Linked DNA regions of Oryzias latipes. The protein of the gene in region 3 binds, or shares a complex with, the protein of the main gene of each other region. Links are inferred from orthologs where the notes say so. Each region holds a gene or a part of one and is shown on either strand. Other genes may lie near its edges.

Evidence for each region. Proteins that work in one complex are often made in the same cells at the same time.
Region 1: pola2 (region 3) and prim2 share a complex: the UniProt entries of both Homo sapiens proteins name them as parts of the alpha DNA polymerase complex. The link is inferred for Oryzias latipes from reciprocal best matches to the Homo sapiens genes POLA2 and PRIM2.
Region 2: pola2 (region 3) and prim1 share a complex: the UniProt entries of both Homo sapiens proteins name them as parts of the alpha DNA polymerase complex. The link is inferred for Oryzias latipes from reciprocal best matches to the Homo sapiens genes POLA2 and PRIM1.

Annotation. Positions count from the first base shown.
Region 1 is NC_019873.2:24,463,200-24,466,576, reverse strand, and holds the end of prim2 (DNA primase large subunit), read right to left. Parts: intron 1,364-3,377; coding exon 1,184-1,363; 3' UTR 808-1,183; downstream 1-807. UniProt on the Homo sapiens protein: Regulatory subunit of the DNA primase complex and component of the DNA polymerase alpha complex (also known as the alpha DNA polymerase-primase complex) which play an essential role in the initiation of DNA synthesis.
Region 2 is NC_019865.2:19,073,427-19,077,258, forward strand, and holds the end of prim1 (DNA primase small subunit), read right to left. Parts: intron 3,831-3,832; coding exon 3,739-3,830; intron 3,658-3,738; coding exon 3,525-3,657; intron 1,705-3,524; coding exon 1,635-1,704; intron 1,563-1,634; coding exon 1,456-1,562; intron 1,225-1,455; coding exon 1,126-1,224; intron 1,051-1,125; coding exon 1,031-1,050; 3' UTR 808-1,030; downstream 1-807. UniProt on the Homo sapiens protein: Catalytic subunit of the DNA primase complex and component of the DNA polymerase alpha complex (also known as the alpha DNA polymerase-primase complex - primosome/replisome) which play an essential role in the initiation of DNA synthesis.
Region 3 is NC_019868.2:12,482,079-12,486,977, reverse strand, and holds the start of pola2 (DNA polymerase alpha subunit B), read left to right. Parts: upstream 1-1,658; 5' UTR 1,659-1,940; coding exon 1,941-2,025; intron 2,026-2,517; coding exon 2,518-2,639; intron 2,640-2,753; coding exon 2,754-2,842; intron 2,843-2,941; coding exon 2,942-2,999; intron 3,000-3,111; coding exon 3,112-3,221; intron 3,222-3,824; coding exon 3,825-4,024; intron 4,025-4,098; coding exon 4,099-4,187; intron 4,188-4,638; coding exon 4,639-4,791; intron 4,792-4,899. Other genes in the region: uncharacterized protein LOC105354875, read left to right, coding at 186-356, 445-566, 764-874, 1,001-1,099, 1,186-1,233. UniProt on the Homo sapiens protein: Accessory subunit of the DNA polymerase alpha complex (also known as the alpha DNA polymerase-primase complex) which plays an essential role in the initiation of DNA synthesis.

The DNA.
Region 1 (3,377 bases), on a different chromosome or scaffold from region 3:
GTGCACACGAGCCAGCGTAATCGTTGCTTCACTGTTTTTATGCTGCACCTGCACTCCACGGATTCAGCCATCGCACAATTAAAGCAGCACATTTTTGTGGTTCGACAAAGTTAATGGATTCTGCAACACCTACTGGCTGCAGATTTGAAAAATCAGCAAGCTGCAACATTAACCTCCCAACGGCTTCATGGAACACGCCGGGCATCAGCTCCTGTGAGAGCTCTCTTTAAGAATCTCACATCACCTGTAGTCCGTCAGACGAGTGGCGGATAAGAAAGCTGCGCAATGTAAAGCCAGTTCACTGCTAATGACTGTAAATCCATCTGCAGAAATGGTCTTGGACATCCGTGGCTTCAGACTGTCGAGGGGGGGGGCAGCGGTGTCAAATGTAGTCATGCTTTACCAAATATTGAACATCAAGAAGTATCTTGCTGACAGCCGCCCGCCTTCAGTTATCCAGTTGTCTTATTATACTGGATAAATCCTCTTCATGTCAAGCACCATGACTGGATTTTAAGACCCAATTTCCGTGCAGGAATGTGGGACTCTGATTCTCCGGCGCTGCCACACGTGGATGCAAGTGCAGCCTGAATGATGTAGTGTTTCGACATGCACATAAATATAACACCCAAATAAGAGAAACAGTCCGTCTTGCACTGCAGGAGCAACGCAATCTCAACTTTTGCCACCATTTCTGGGAAATTATTAAGCAGACGGGCCAGACAGAGAGAGGGGGAAATATCTCGCCACCTCATTTGCTTTGAATAAATTGCATTGTGCATTATGAGGCAATATTCCAAGGCAGAGTAATACAACTGTGGAAATGGTTTATTTTTTCATCCATCCTCCTGTCAGCATTTATCCATTAAGCTGCCATCAAATACAAAGACATTGTTTTGGGGACAGCAAGGAAATGTTTACGGTTTCCCCCAAAAGCCAAACTCCATCCAAACAGAGACCAGATTTAAGCCCTGCGAGTTCAGTCCACAGCGAAAGCAAAGGAGCTAAATATGTGTTTATTACAAGTTTTACAGGAGGCTCCAATCTGACAAGGTGAATATAAAAAAAAAATCTTAAAAAAAAAGAAAAAGCATAATTCAAATGTGATGCAAGAGGCTTGAAGACAGTATGTAACCATCTCCAATAGAAAAAGGTGGAGGATTTCTCCATGTAGTGAGAGAAATCAGCCATCTTTAAAAAGAGCTTCCAGGTCCTCAGCCGTCTCTGCCAAATGCTGAGAGGTTTCCTGCACCTTCTGAGGAACGTCCACATCCCTCTTTGGATCCTTGCCTCCACCTAAAGCTTTCTGGCTCTCTATAAAGTACTGGTTGGGGTGACTGAGTGAGAAAGAAGAGTCCTCCACCTGCTCGTAAAGAAACAGAAAAAAAAAAAAAAAACAGGAGAGGAAGGTCAGCGGAGGATTCTAACTATGGGCTGTCACAGAAGTGGCAGGTTGACTGACTGATTTCATGGAATGTCACCTTTTAGAAGATGATTGTCTCACTTATGGAGGAAGATGAGAACTCTTGCACAGACTTATTTGACTTAACGGGTTTTCACGGCTTCGTTTGTAAGGTAAGTCACCTCCAGAAGTGTGACACGAGTGCAAAAGCTGTCACATGAAATGTCCTTTCAGGACAGAGAAAGTCAAACCAATGGAAACCTCAAACTGTTTTGGGCTTTCAACTTATTAAGAAGCATTTTTAGGATTTTAGTAAACCGTTTCATGGTTTTTAAAGTGTGTAGAAAGGATAAAAGATTTGTTTACAATTTATTTTCATAACTTTCTTTAAAACCCCACTGTTCAAAATTAGAAAATCAAAACTGTACAGCTCGATAGCTCCGATATTGCTCGCCATTTTTGCATCGAGGAGGGGGAAGGGGGCGGGGTTGCTCTCCACCAACGGTCCCGCCCACAAGTCAGAGATGAACTTTTGATGAACAACTGCTGCCCTGCAGAAATTATGTTCTCGAAAAACAGCTGTTTTTTGGGGGCTAGAAACGGCATAACCGTAATTAAAAGACCACTGCTGAAAATAAAAATAAAAACGATTAGAGCGTCTTTAAAACTATTGTGACTGAGCAAATTCTGTTTGTTTTTTAGCCCCTTTTGAAACGACTGTGAATTACAGGTTTTAAATGAGGATAATTATACAGACTTTGAATTTCCCTCAATCTGCTTTTCTGTGTGGGACTGAAGCGATTCTGCAGTGAGTCTGAGGTAACGATTGCCGCCACTTTCCCAGGTCTTCTCTATGGAACACGCTGTGTAAAATCCTACAGGTCTTTAAGTTATTAGCATCATGACAATGAGATAAGAATCTGCAGGAACACTTTGCCTGTCGAAGCAAATGAACTTCTCTTCTACGCGACTGCAGACAACATTTCTCAAGTGACTGCATGCATAATCTAAATTAATGTATGTGAAGTTCTTGTAAGCAAACAATTGAACCACAAACTATTCATTAAGCTTCATGTGCAGTTAATCAAGTCATGACTACATTGTCCCTTCAACAGTTATTGCCATTAGAGGCAAGAAAAATAACCAAATGCAGGATTACAGAAATATCCAGAGTTCTGGTACTCTTCTAAGGTTTTGTTCTTTGTTTTGACCAGATCCAAAAACACTAAGTTAGATTTGCTTCTTTATCATAGAGCAAGTTCTTTCCTTTTAGTTTTCTGTGGTCTGTCAACATATTTCTAACAGTGGTCCCTCGCTATATCACAATTCACCTTTAGCAGAGTTTTGGTGCACTTGTAATTGTTTTTTTAACAGCGGATTCTGTCCTGCATCCTGATTGGCTGTAGACCATTGTCAATCAGTCCCATACGTGTGGTGTCTCGTGTACAGAACGCGTTCAGTTTGCAATATTTAAATAAACATTCAATTGTTAGCAAATCTTTGCTTTCATTCTATAATACTGGACTTTTTTTTAACGAAGGTTTGAACTTTAAACATTTGAATAAGAGAGGAAATATTAATATTTGTCTGAGAGAAGTCTCAGAGAGGAGTCTCACAGTATTAAACCTTTAACAATATTTGTAAAAAATAAAGCTAATGATGGAGGTTATTTTTAGAACATAACTCCCTCAATAAACGAGGACCTGCAGTATTTTAAAAAATAGCATGTATTTAGAGGTTTTATTCAATTTCAAGATCAAATATTTCTCTAATAATCTAAAATCAAAGTGTATTTTTTAATGTAGTTTTAGGCACTCGCATCAGTTCGGGCAGACACGACAAAATATGCAAAAAGGTGTAAAAACAATCATCTGAAAAACATTTTCAGGCACAAATGGAATTGCAGCCACAGGATACACCGAGGTTCACTTCTTGCTTATAGATTTCCTCACGACATAAAATACACCGGAGAGTC
Region 2 (3,832 bases), on a different chromosome or scaffold from region 3:
TTAGCAAGGGCATACATGTAGGAAAAACTGCCAGATGATATTGGATTTCAAGCGGAGATCCTCACCAACTCGGGACGCTAATTCCAAGATGGCTGTGAGAAAGAACTCCTGACCCCAGTTTTTGCGTAATATCCGGTGGAGCACCTTTCTACTTCCGGTATCATTAGAGGTAAAGTCTGGTGTGCTGTGTAAAAACGTTTCAATTTTTGAATCAAACTTATAGTCTTTTTATGCATTAAAAACAGCCTTCTCTTCGTAGAAAGCATTGAATATATCTAGGTTAAAAAATTTGGGAACACATTTTGTCATAGTAAATGTTTATTGTAATCTTTTAAAGAGGCTTCTTTTTGTCATTTGAATCAAATTTTCTGTCAGATGGGTTTGGCATGCTGGGAATAAATTTACACTATAGAAATTAAATATTAAGTATTTGTAAGAACTTTTAAAAAATGTTTTGTTAAAAATTTGGCTCTGCAAGCTTGCAAATAATGAACCTCAGGGTGCCTGTTTTTTTCTTAGTTCAGTGGTTCTGATCAAAAATGATAAAAATTATACCAACTGTGCAAATAAGTTAGTATGGGTGTCTTCAATAATTTAGTCTTAGTTGTGGTCATTTGACACACGCTTTTATCAGTTATTTAAATTGGTTGGTAAAGATTATACGCCCTTAAAATTTTTGTTCACTTTAGTTTAGGAGACACCTGATAAAGAGACATCCTCACAAACATATCAAAAATATTTTTGGAAGTGATTAATACTTTGCACTCTAATCAAATCCCTGTTTTTAAATAAATCAATCACAAAAGGTTGAACAAGAGCTTAAATTTAATACATTTTATTGAATGCCTCACAAATATTTATACACCAGCAAAATGTTGGAAAAATGTAGAAAATTACAAAGATTTGATACAAAAAGATATCAAAGTCACAAGAGTCAAATGCACAAATGCATAAAGCACTACACATCCATCACCACATGTACTAACAGACAGTAAAATCTGTTATTTTTAAAGCACGAGTTTGATGCCTGTCAGAATTCCATTTGATCATCTGGAAGAAAGAAAATTCAGCAAAATGAAAAAAAGAAGAAGAAAACATGTTTTAGTTTGAAAAATGAGAATTTACCACTCTTTCTGAGAAGTTCTCCCTTCCAGGAACGAGTCATTCCATCCAGGAAAGAATCAAAGTATTTCACATACTTTGCCAGGCTGGTTCTTTTGTAATCTGAGGAGAAAAAAATGACTTTTTTTGGTTTCTGTGTGAGTTTTAAAAAATACAAACTCTCAAAAATGAATGATAAATACTCTCAATAGGAAAGTGGTACGTTCTGTTACTTTACTTGTTACAGTAGCCCCGTTACGTAAAGCCCATCAGTCGTTACCTTACATTTTTTACACATAACAGCGTACATATTTTAATGGCAGGGCATATTTCAGTATTCTTGTCTTTGAGCACCTCTCATCTTCCGAGTCTCAACTGCATCTTTCTCATTTTCTTTGTCTTGGGATTCCTCCGACTTTTCCTCTTCTGTTCTGGGACGATCCAGCTCCTCACAGATGCGACTTTAATACAGCAGAGGCCTCGTTAGTCTTCCTGCATCAAACACACTGAGGGATGCCGAATTCTTCCCTTACCTGATTGTAGGCACAACAAATGGATCAAAGCTGTCTACTTCTTTGAGATCTATGGGAACTGAGATCCGACCTGAAAAAAATAAGAAGTGTTTTATCAGTGTATTATCAGACTACCGGTAGTTAGTATTCAGAGATTATTTAACTTAATGTTAATGGGTTTGAAATATAAATTAATAACTATTTGTTTTTAGTAGGCTGCGAGAAGTTGAAGCTGGGGTAGCTATGGTGCTCTGGGGTTCTGTAATCTTTTCCCATCTACTTCTACCCTTCCTCTCCTCCATTATTGATCATCATTCATCATTTAGTTCTCCATGCCTCTGTTTGGTGCAGTGCGATTCATGTATTGTCCCTCTTTCCCTCTCCCCTCCTGGGGATTGGGAGTGCTTCCAGATTCCAGTTGGCTCATCCGTGCTCCTATTCCTGACCGAGTACCTCGTCTCTGCTCCTGTTCCTACACCTGGCTGTGGTTCTTGTCTCAGGCTCGACTCGCGCCCCTGGCTGTCCCCCCAACCACGGCTGGATGAAGCTCGTCTGCTGGACTTTATATATGTAGTTGTAAAGTTAGATAAGTTAGTTCTTCTCTATGAGTTCTGGTAAATCGCCTGTCCGTCCTGGTGGAGGATCCCTCCTTCATGTGGGCACCCCTGAGGTTTCTTCGTTTTTTCGAGTTTTTTCTTACTGCGAAGGGGGGTCTAAGGGCAGGGATGCCAGTCTAGCTTAGCTTAGTTTGTTAGTTCATTTTAGCATTTTCCTATTGAACTCTTTGTATTCATGATCCTTTTGAGTTCATGTTTCACTTCGAAGCCCATCGAGACGACTGTTGTTGTGATTTTGGGCTATACAAATAAAATTGAATTGAATTGTTTTATTTGCTCAATTAAATTTTCTTCCCAAATCTTTTTTTTTTCATGCTGCATAAAATAAAATTAAAATCTTCTTGAAACTTCTATTAGTTCTTTAATCAAATTGCTGTGAATCAGGAGCAGACGACAAATGTTTAAAAAAGACCGTATTTGTGACAGAGGTGACAAGCTCCCTGCTTCGTTCCATTCTGATGCATCCACTTGCAGACATTTTGGACCTCTTGGTTTTCCTCCTCCGAGCTGGCATCTGGCTCAGAACTGTGCGACTGCATTGCTCCGATATTGCTCACCTTTTTCTGTACTGGTAATGTTGGGTGGAGGTGAATTTTTAATGAAATACTGCCCTGCCGCTCTGCAGAAACTGTCGTAGAAAACAACAGTTTTGTTTGTGTGTGGCTAAAAACGGAATACCGATAATAAAAAACCACTGGGAGCACTTTCCAATGGACAAAAGATTATCTGAGTGGGTCTTTAACAAAACAAAAACAATGACAGAAGTGTCTGTGTCCAGATGAAACAACCAAAAGCTTATTGTGAGTCATTTAAGAGCTCAGGAAGTATTCAAGTTTTACTGGAATATGAAAAAAAAACAACCCACAGACTGCTCTGTCTTTTGTTTTCATTGAGCGCAATGCTAAACTGCAAATATAACTGAAAGAATTTGGTGAACTCTTGAATAGTGTAATCCAATATAACAATAAAGGGGCAGGACAATATTCATCTTCCAAAGCCCAGTAGTTCATCTTGTCTTCTATTTTATTTCAAATAGTTTACAACAGAAAGCGTGCAATAGCTTCAGTTATTTATTTCAACAACAGTCACCATTCCAAAGAGAGCTAATTATTTTAAGTAATAACAAAATATCGCATCTTTAAAGGTTTGCTTTTAATCCTTAATTTGAAAGTTTGACAGTTGTTGTTTTTTACATTCTTGTATGACATTTGCATTTTTGTCAAATCTGGCTTCATATTTATATGAATTTGTCTTAATGACTGCAAACTTTCTGCTCCTTTTAAGGCATAATCACCTGTTTTGGGATGGACACTGAACGGACTCTTGAGCAGATGGTTCACCCCTTTGCTGACGTTCACGTCGAGCCGAGGGTAACAGTACTGCAGCATGATTTCTTTTTCAAAGTGTTGGCCTTTTTTCACAGTACCCTAAGAAAAGAAAAAAAAACAGACGTCCTTCTGCACAAGAAAAAAAGATGTTATAAAATAAACCTATAGAAAAGTACAAACCTGCTTATTCTTAGCTTCATTTTTTATCATTTTCCAGAGTTTTTCTGGTTGCTTCACACCTTTCATTTTGGTCTGCAATTCATTTCTGACATGT
Region 3 (4,899 bases):
TCACGCATGTTGAACATGCAACTTCTTTCCGTGAGCAGTGGGGATCAGAGAGGACATGAACGGGACCGGGCAGAAATAACACTAGACAAAGAGGGGCAAAAGTTAGAAACTGCAGCAAACACTTATACCTTCATGGAAAACAGAGGACAAAGTACCTAAAGTCATTTTTTGTATATTTCCTGCAGATCCAGAGTTCAGAGTTGGTACTGTGTTCACCACTGAGCAATGGGAAAATGAAAAGAAATGTGACGATGAAGAGCAAGAATCCAGTCACCTGCCAGTTCAGCAGAGTCTCCTGCTCTTCCTCCTCTTGCAACACAGAAACCCCTTCTGCTCCCACCTGTCTGATTTTGTAGGTGAGAAACAATTTGGGATTTCGCGGTTTTTGTCAGGAGCCAGTAGAAAAACTGATGTGAACAGCTTTCAAGACGGCTCTTTTCACAGCCGCTGACATGCTGATAGAGCACCACCTGGAGGAGATTCTGTGCAACAACAAGCCGGCTGTCATGGCAGCCATACGAACGGAAATCGGGAACGCCATGAAAGCTCAAAATCAAAGGAAAAAGGCAAGAATGAAAATAAAACCTTCCCAACAACCTTTCTACTGTCAGAGAATAGATGAACAGCTGCTGCTGTACTTTGACAGAAAAATAAATATTGGTTCAAGTTAGCCACTTCAAGATGCAACCGTTCATTTTAAAATAAATTGTTTAGAGTGTTGTTTCATTTACTTGTTTATCTATGTTTTCTGTTCTGATGAAAGCAACAAGAGAAGCTGAATTCAGCGGCTGAGGTGATTCTCAGTTCCACCATGAGTATTGTTAGCTGCAGCAGCAACGTGGACTTCAGAAACGCCTGCTTTGACCTCATGAAGGTACAATAGAAAAACATCTGATCTTAAAATAACATCCAGCACTCGTAGTTTGTGTCGCAGCCAAATCGCTTAGTTGCCTAAATGAAAAGAAAAAAAAGTGCTTTTTGTGTGCAATGTGATTTTTAGGTAGCCGACACTCATGCGTTGTCATCCCACCTGGGTGAGTCACTCCGGCGAGTGATGTCATGGAGATTCCTTCCCGTGGGCAGATGTTATTCCACTCAGGTTAGTGAAGTGTGTGTTTTCCACAACCGCCTGGCATCCATCTGGGCTTTTAACAGTAATGTTGACCAAACTCATTGCTTTGGCAGATGGAGGAAAATCTTTTACATCACGGGTCTACAAAGTCGGAAATCTGAGGATGCTGTTTTTTTTTTTTCCTTGAAAGGTTTTTGTGGAGTTCAGACGAGTGACCTGTAATTTATTTTGTCTATAATATGCTGTATTTACCTTGAATAAAGAAAGTGGCGTGAAAAAACTTGATCCATATTTATTTATTTTTACAATCTGTGTCACACAAGAGGTTAATAATATTTATTTATTTTGAACAGATAAAATAAACATAATCAAAGTATAACAAATAACTATGAAAGGGGCTTTGGATGAAGTATGACAGCTGATCGAGTCTTTTTTTTTTCAATTTAGTCTAAACTTAAATGAACAGTATTTGTACAGAATTACAAGAAATTAAAGGCATACACTGGGGGAAAAATAATCAGTTCTTTTTTTTTTAAACTGCTGCCTACAGCGATTCATCCTTAAGCTTTTATTTTGACGGTGGCCTTGAGGAAAACAGTTTCCTGTCTTGACGTCATTTCCGGCCGCCAACCCCGACAGCCCCTTTTCGCGGTAAAATGAAATAACCATTGATTGGATTTATTCCGTGTAGTTTAATGCAGTTGGTAAGACACCGAGGGGTTTAACGTCGAGCAGTTAATTTAATCCGATTGTTGATGTTTTTTCTAGCTAATGTAAAGCTAGCGTTAGCATCACTATTCTTTTGACGCCGAGAACTAAATTATTAACCCAAACCACCAGAGGTCCAACAACAGTCGACAGCAAAGCAATGGCGCTTGCAACAGCAGAAAGTTTAAAGGCGCAGCTGGACATCTTCTGCATATCCTGCGAGGATGACTCGGTCCTAGAGAGGAGTGAGTGTTTGACATTTAATGCTTCCCTAATCGTCCAATTCTGTAGCGTTAGCTTAAGAATGGCATTGGAACCTGGGATCACGTGACCTGGATAACAACAGACACGATTCTTTAGTCTTGTCAACCTTTTGCTCTATTGTGCAATAAATCAGACTCGAAGCATAAACATTCAAGTATTATACTTTTCATATTGTCCATTCATTTTTTTGTTTTTACGGTGTATACTTCCTACTTCATTCATTGCTGTTTTTAAAATATCCTATTCAGTTTTTTCTGAATTTTTTCAAAAACCTTGCAGCAGCAGTAGAATTTCATCTTTTCATCCTGTTGATCTGATGTTTTCAGAACTTTATAAACCATTTCTGTCTTTAGTCCTTTGATAAGTTTTAAACTGTTCTCACTGGATTTTTCTCTTTGTTTTAGTATTTGCTGTTTCATTCAAAGACTTTATGCTGACAGCCATTTTTGTTTGTTTGTTTGTTTGTTGCTCAGTGGTTGAGCAGTGCATCTGTCACAGAATTCAGGAGGATGACATGGTGTGTGAGTGGATGGCCTACAACAGCAGGAACCCCAAACCTCTCACCATGAACACGCTGGAGCAGTTTGAACACGAGGTAAAAGCAGGACACAGATCATGGGTTTTTCATGACTGCAGCATAAATGTGGCTCTTCAGCTTTTCCACACTTTTTTCCCTTTTCTCACATTTGGACTTTTGGTTTCTTGACAGGTTTTAAACAAGAGGAACAAGTTCAAATCAGGCCTGAAAAAAGAAGAACCTTATAACAAAACCATGGACATTAACACCTTACAGGACATGTATCCCATACTTTAGGAAAACCAAAAACAATAGTACTATTGTGTTTATTTGTGTTGAGTTTCTGACGCTTTGCAAACCTTAACACAGTTCTCTAACAGAATAAAAGCTGAGGAGGAAGAGGAGAATCTCCTCGACTCTTACTCCACTCCAGCAAAGGTGAGCTCTCAGCTTGAACTTCTGTTTGTCTCCTTCCACCATCAGTTCTGCATAGTTTATGGAGTTTACTGAATCTCTGTGCCACCCCTTCTCCCTTTGCCTCGAGTTACAGGGTTCTCAGAAACGACCGCTAACCACTCCAGAACACCCGCAGTCCAAGAGGAGTGCTGCTCTGCTGGCCAGCCCCGGCCTGCTGCTGTCTCCAGCCAGCTTCTCTGCCAAGTACGAAGCATCACACAGCGTTCACACAGCCTCTGTCAGCTCGGCGCCGAGCCTTCAGCCTGAATATGAACACAGAATTCTGAGATCATTGTCAGAATTTTAATGAATTCTGACTTCTTTTATTAAAGTCAGAATTGTCTGATTAATCATTGAACTCCCTCTAATGGTAACAGTCTGCCTAGACCCTTCTTTTCTTCATGCATCACATAATCTCTAAGAAATACTTCTAGTGGGTGATAAGTTTAACTTCTAAAATTACTCAAGAGATGGTCATTTTCTATGTTCTATGATGCTTAAATTGTCTGAAATAACAGACAACACATTTGTGTGTTTTCTTATAAATACTTCAGATCCAACGGTTTTAAGATGAAAAAAAATAACTATAATAAACCACAAGAAATTTTGTTTCTTTGGAGGATTTGTTCTTTTTCCTACAGCTTCATTGAAGATCAGCGAAAAAAGGGATGTTTATTTTTATATCATGTTGTAGATTTTAAAGCAGTTTCTTCTATGATTAAAGAGATTCAATTCAGAATGGTTAGGAGTAAGAGATGAATGAGGTTTTGTTGGAACTTTGACTTGACTATTGTCTCTCCTCTGAAGTGCCACGCCCTCACAGAAGTACAACCAGCGTGGAGCCAAAGGGGAGGTTGTGGTCACGTTTGGAGCCACGCAGGGAACCCGCTGGGCGGGCAGGAAGAACCCGGCCGCCGGCGTCCAGGTGGACTTTCTGGAAGGGCCTGAAGACTCCCTGCACAGCAGCTACAAATTCATGTTCCAGAGGCTGCGCGACGTCAGAAATGGTGTGCGGGCCCCCAGCAGTGCTCCTTTGCTTTGGTGCTTAGTGTTTCTATATTCACGTCCCTCATTTTTCCAGTGTTGGCAGAGAAGATTGAGGATCTGGGGGAAACCGTCAGGTCTCACTTCCACATCGAGGAGTTTGCCAGCGTGTCTCTGCCCGCACAGGTACGGAGCCGTCACTGCTGTGGGAGTCACACGGTGCTGGATTCTCTGGATTCAGAATACAAAAGCCAAAAGAATCCATACGTGCACGTTCCTTTATTTGATTCCACTTGGATCCATAGTTTCCAGCAACAAACTGAATCAGTCATTTCCTGATTGTTGCTGTCATTTTCTGTGGGAATTGTTCTTGTTTATTATATTGTTTAATGATCTGAAGTTTCCTGTTATTTTAATGCAACAAACCCATAGTTAGGTTTTGGTTTAGATTTCATTCATAATGTCATGATTAAGTCTCTTGAAAAAAAAACACGTTTTCTTTCCCCTCCCTACTATTATATCCGAGTTATTTTTGATGCCTCTGCATCAGTTTTATGCCAAATCCTCAAATTAAAAGCGGGTTTTCTATCTTTGCCGCTCTGATATCCGCTCATTCATTTCTGCCCTCCACCTTCAGGACAGCATAACGGTGTCGGGGCAGATTTGCTGCGACAGTAACGGCAAACTGAACGCTCAGTCTGTTCTGTTGGAGGCGGGACCGGAGCACGGCGGTCAGCAGGTTGCCGTGGACCTGTCGGAGCTTAAAGAGTACTCCCTGTTTCCCGGTCAGGTAGGATGAACCCTGCACAGAAAGAAGTGTTCCTGTAATCTCTGAGCTGGAGGAGACGGTGAGGGGGGTGTTCTCCCGCTGGTGGTTTCTCCTTTGCCTCTGCACTCA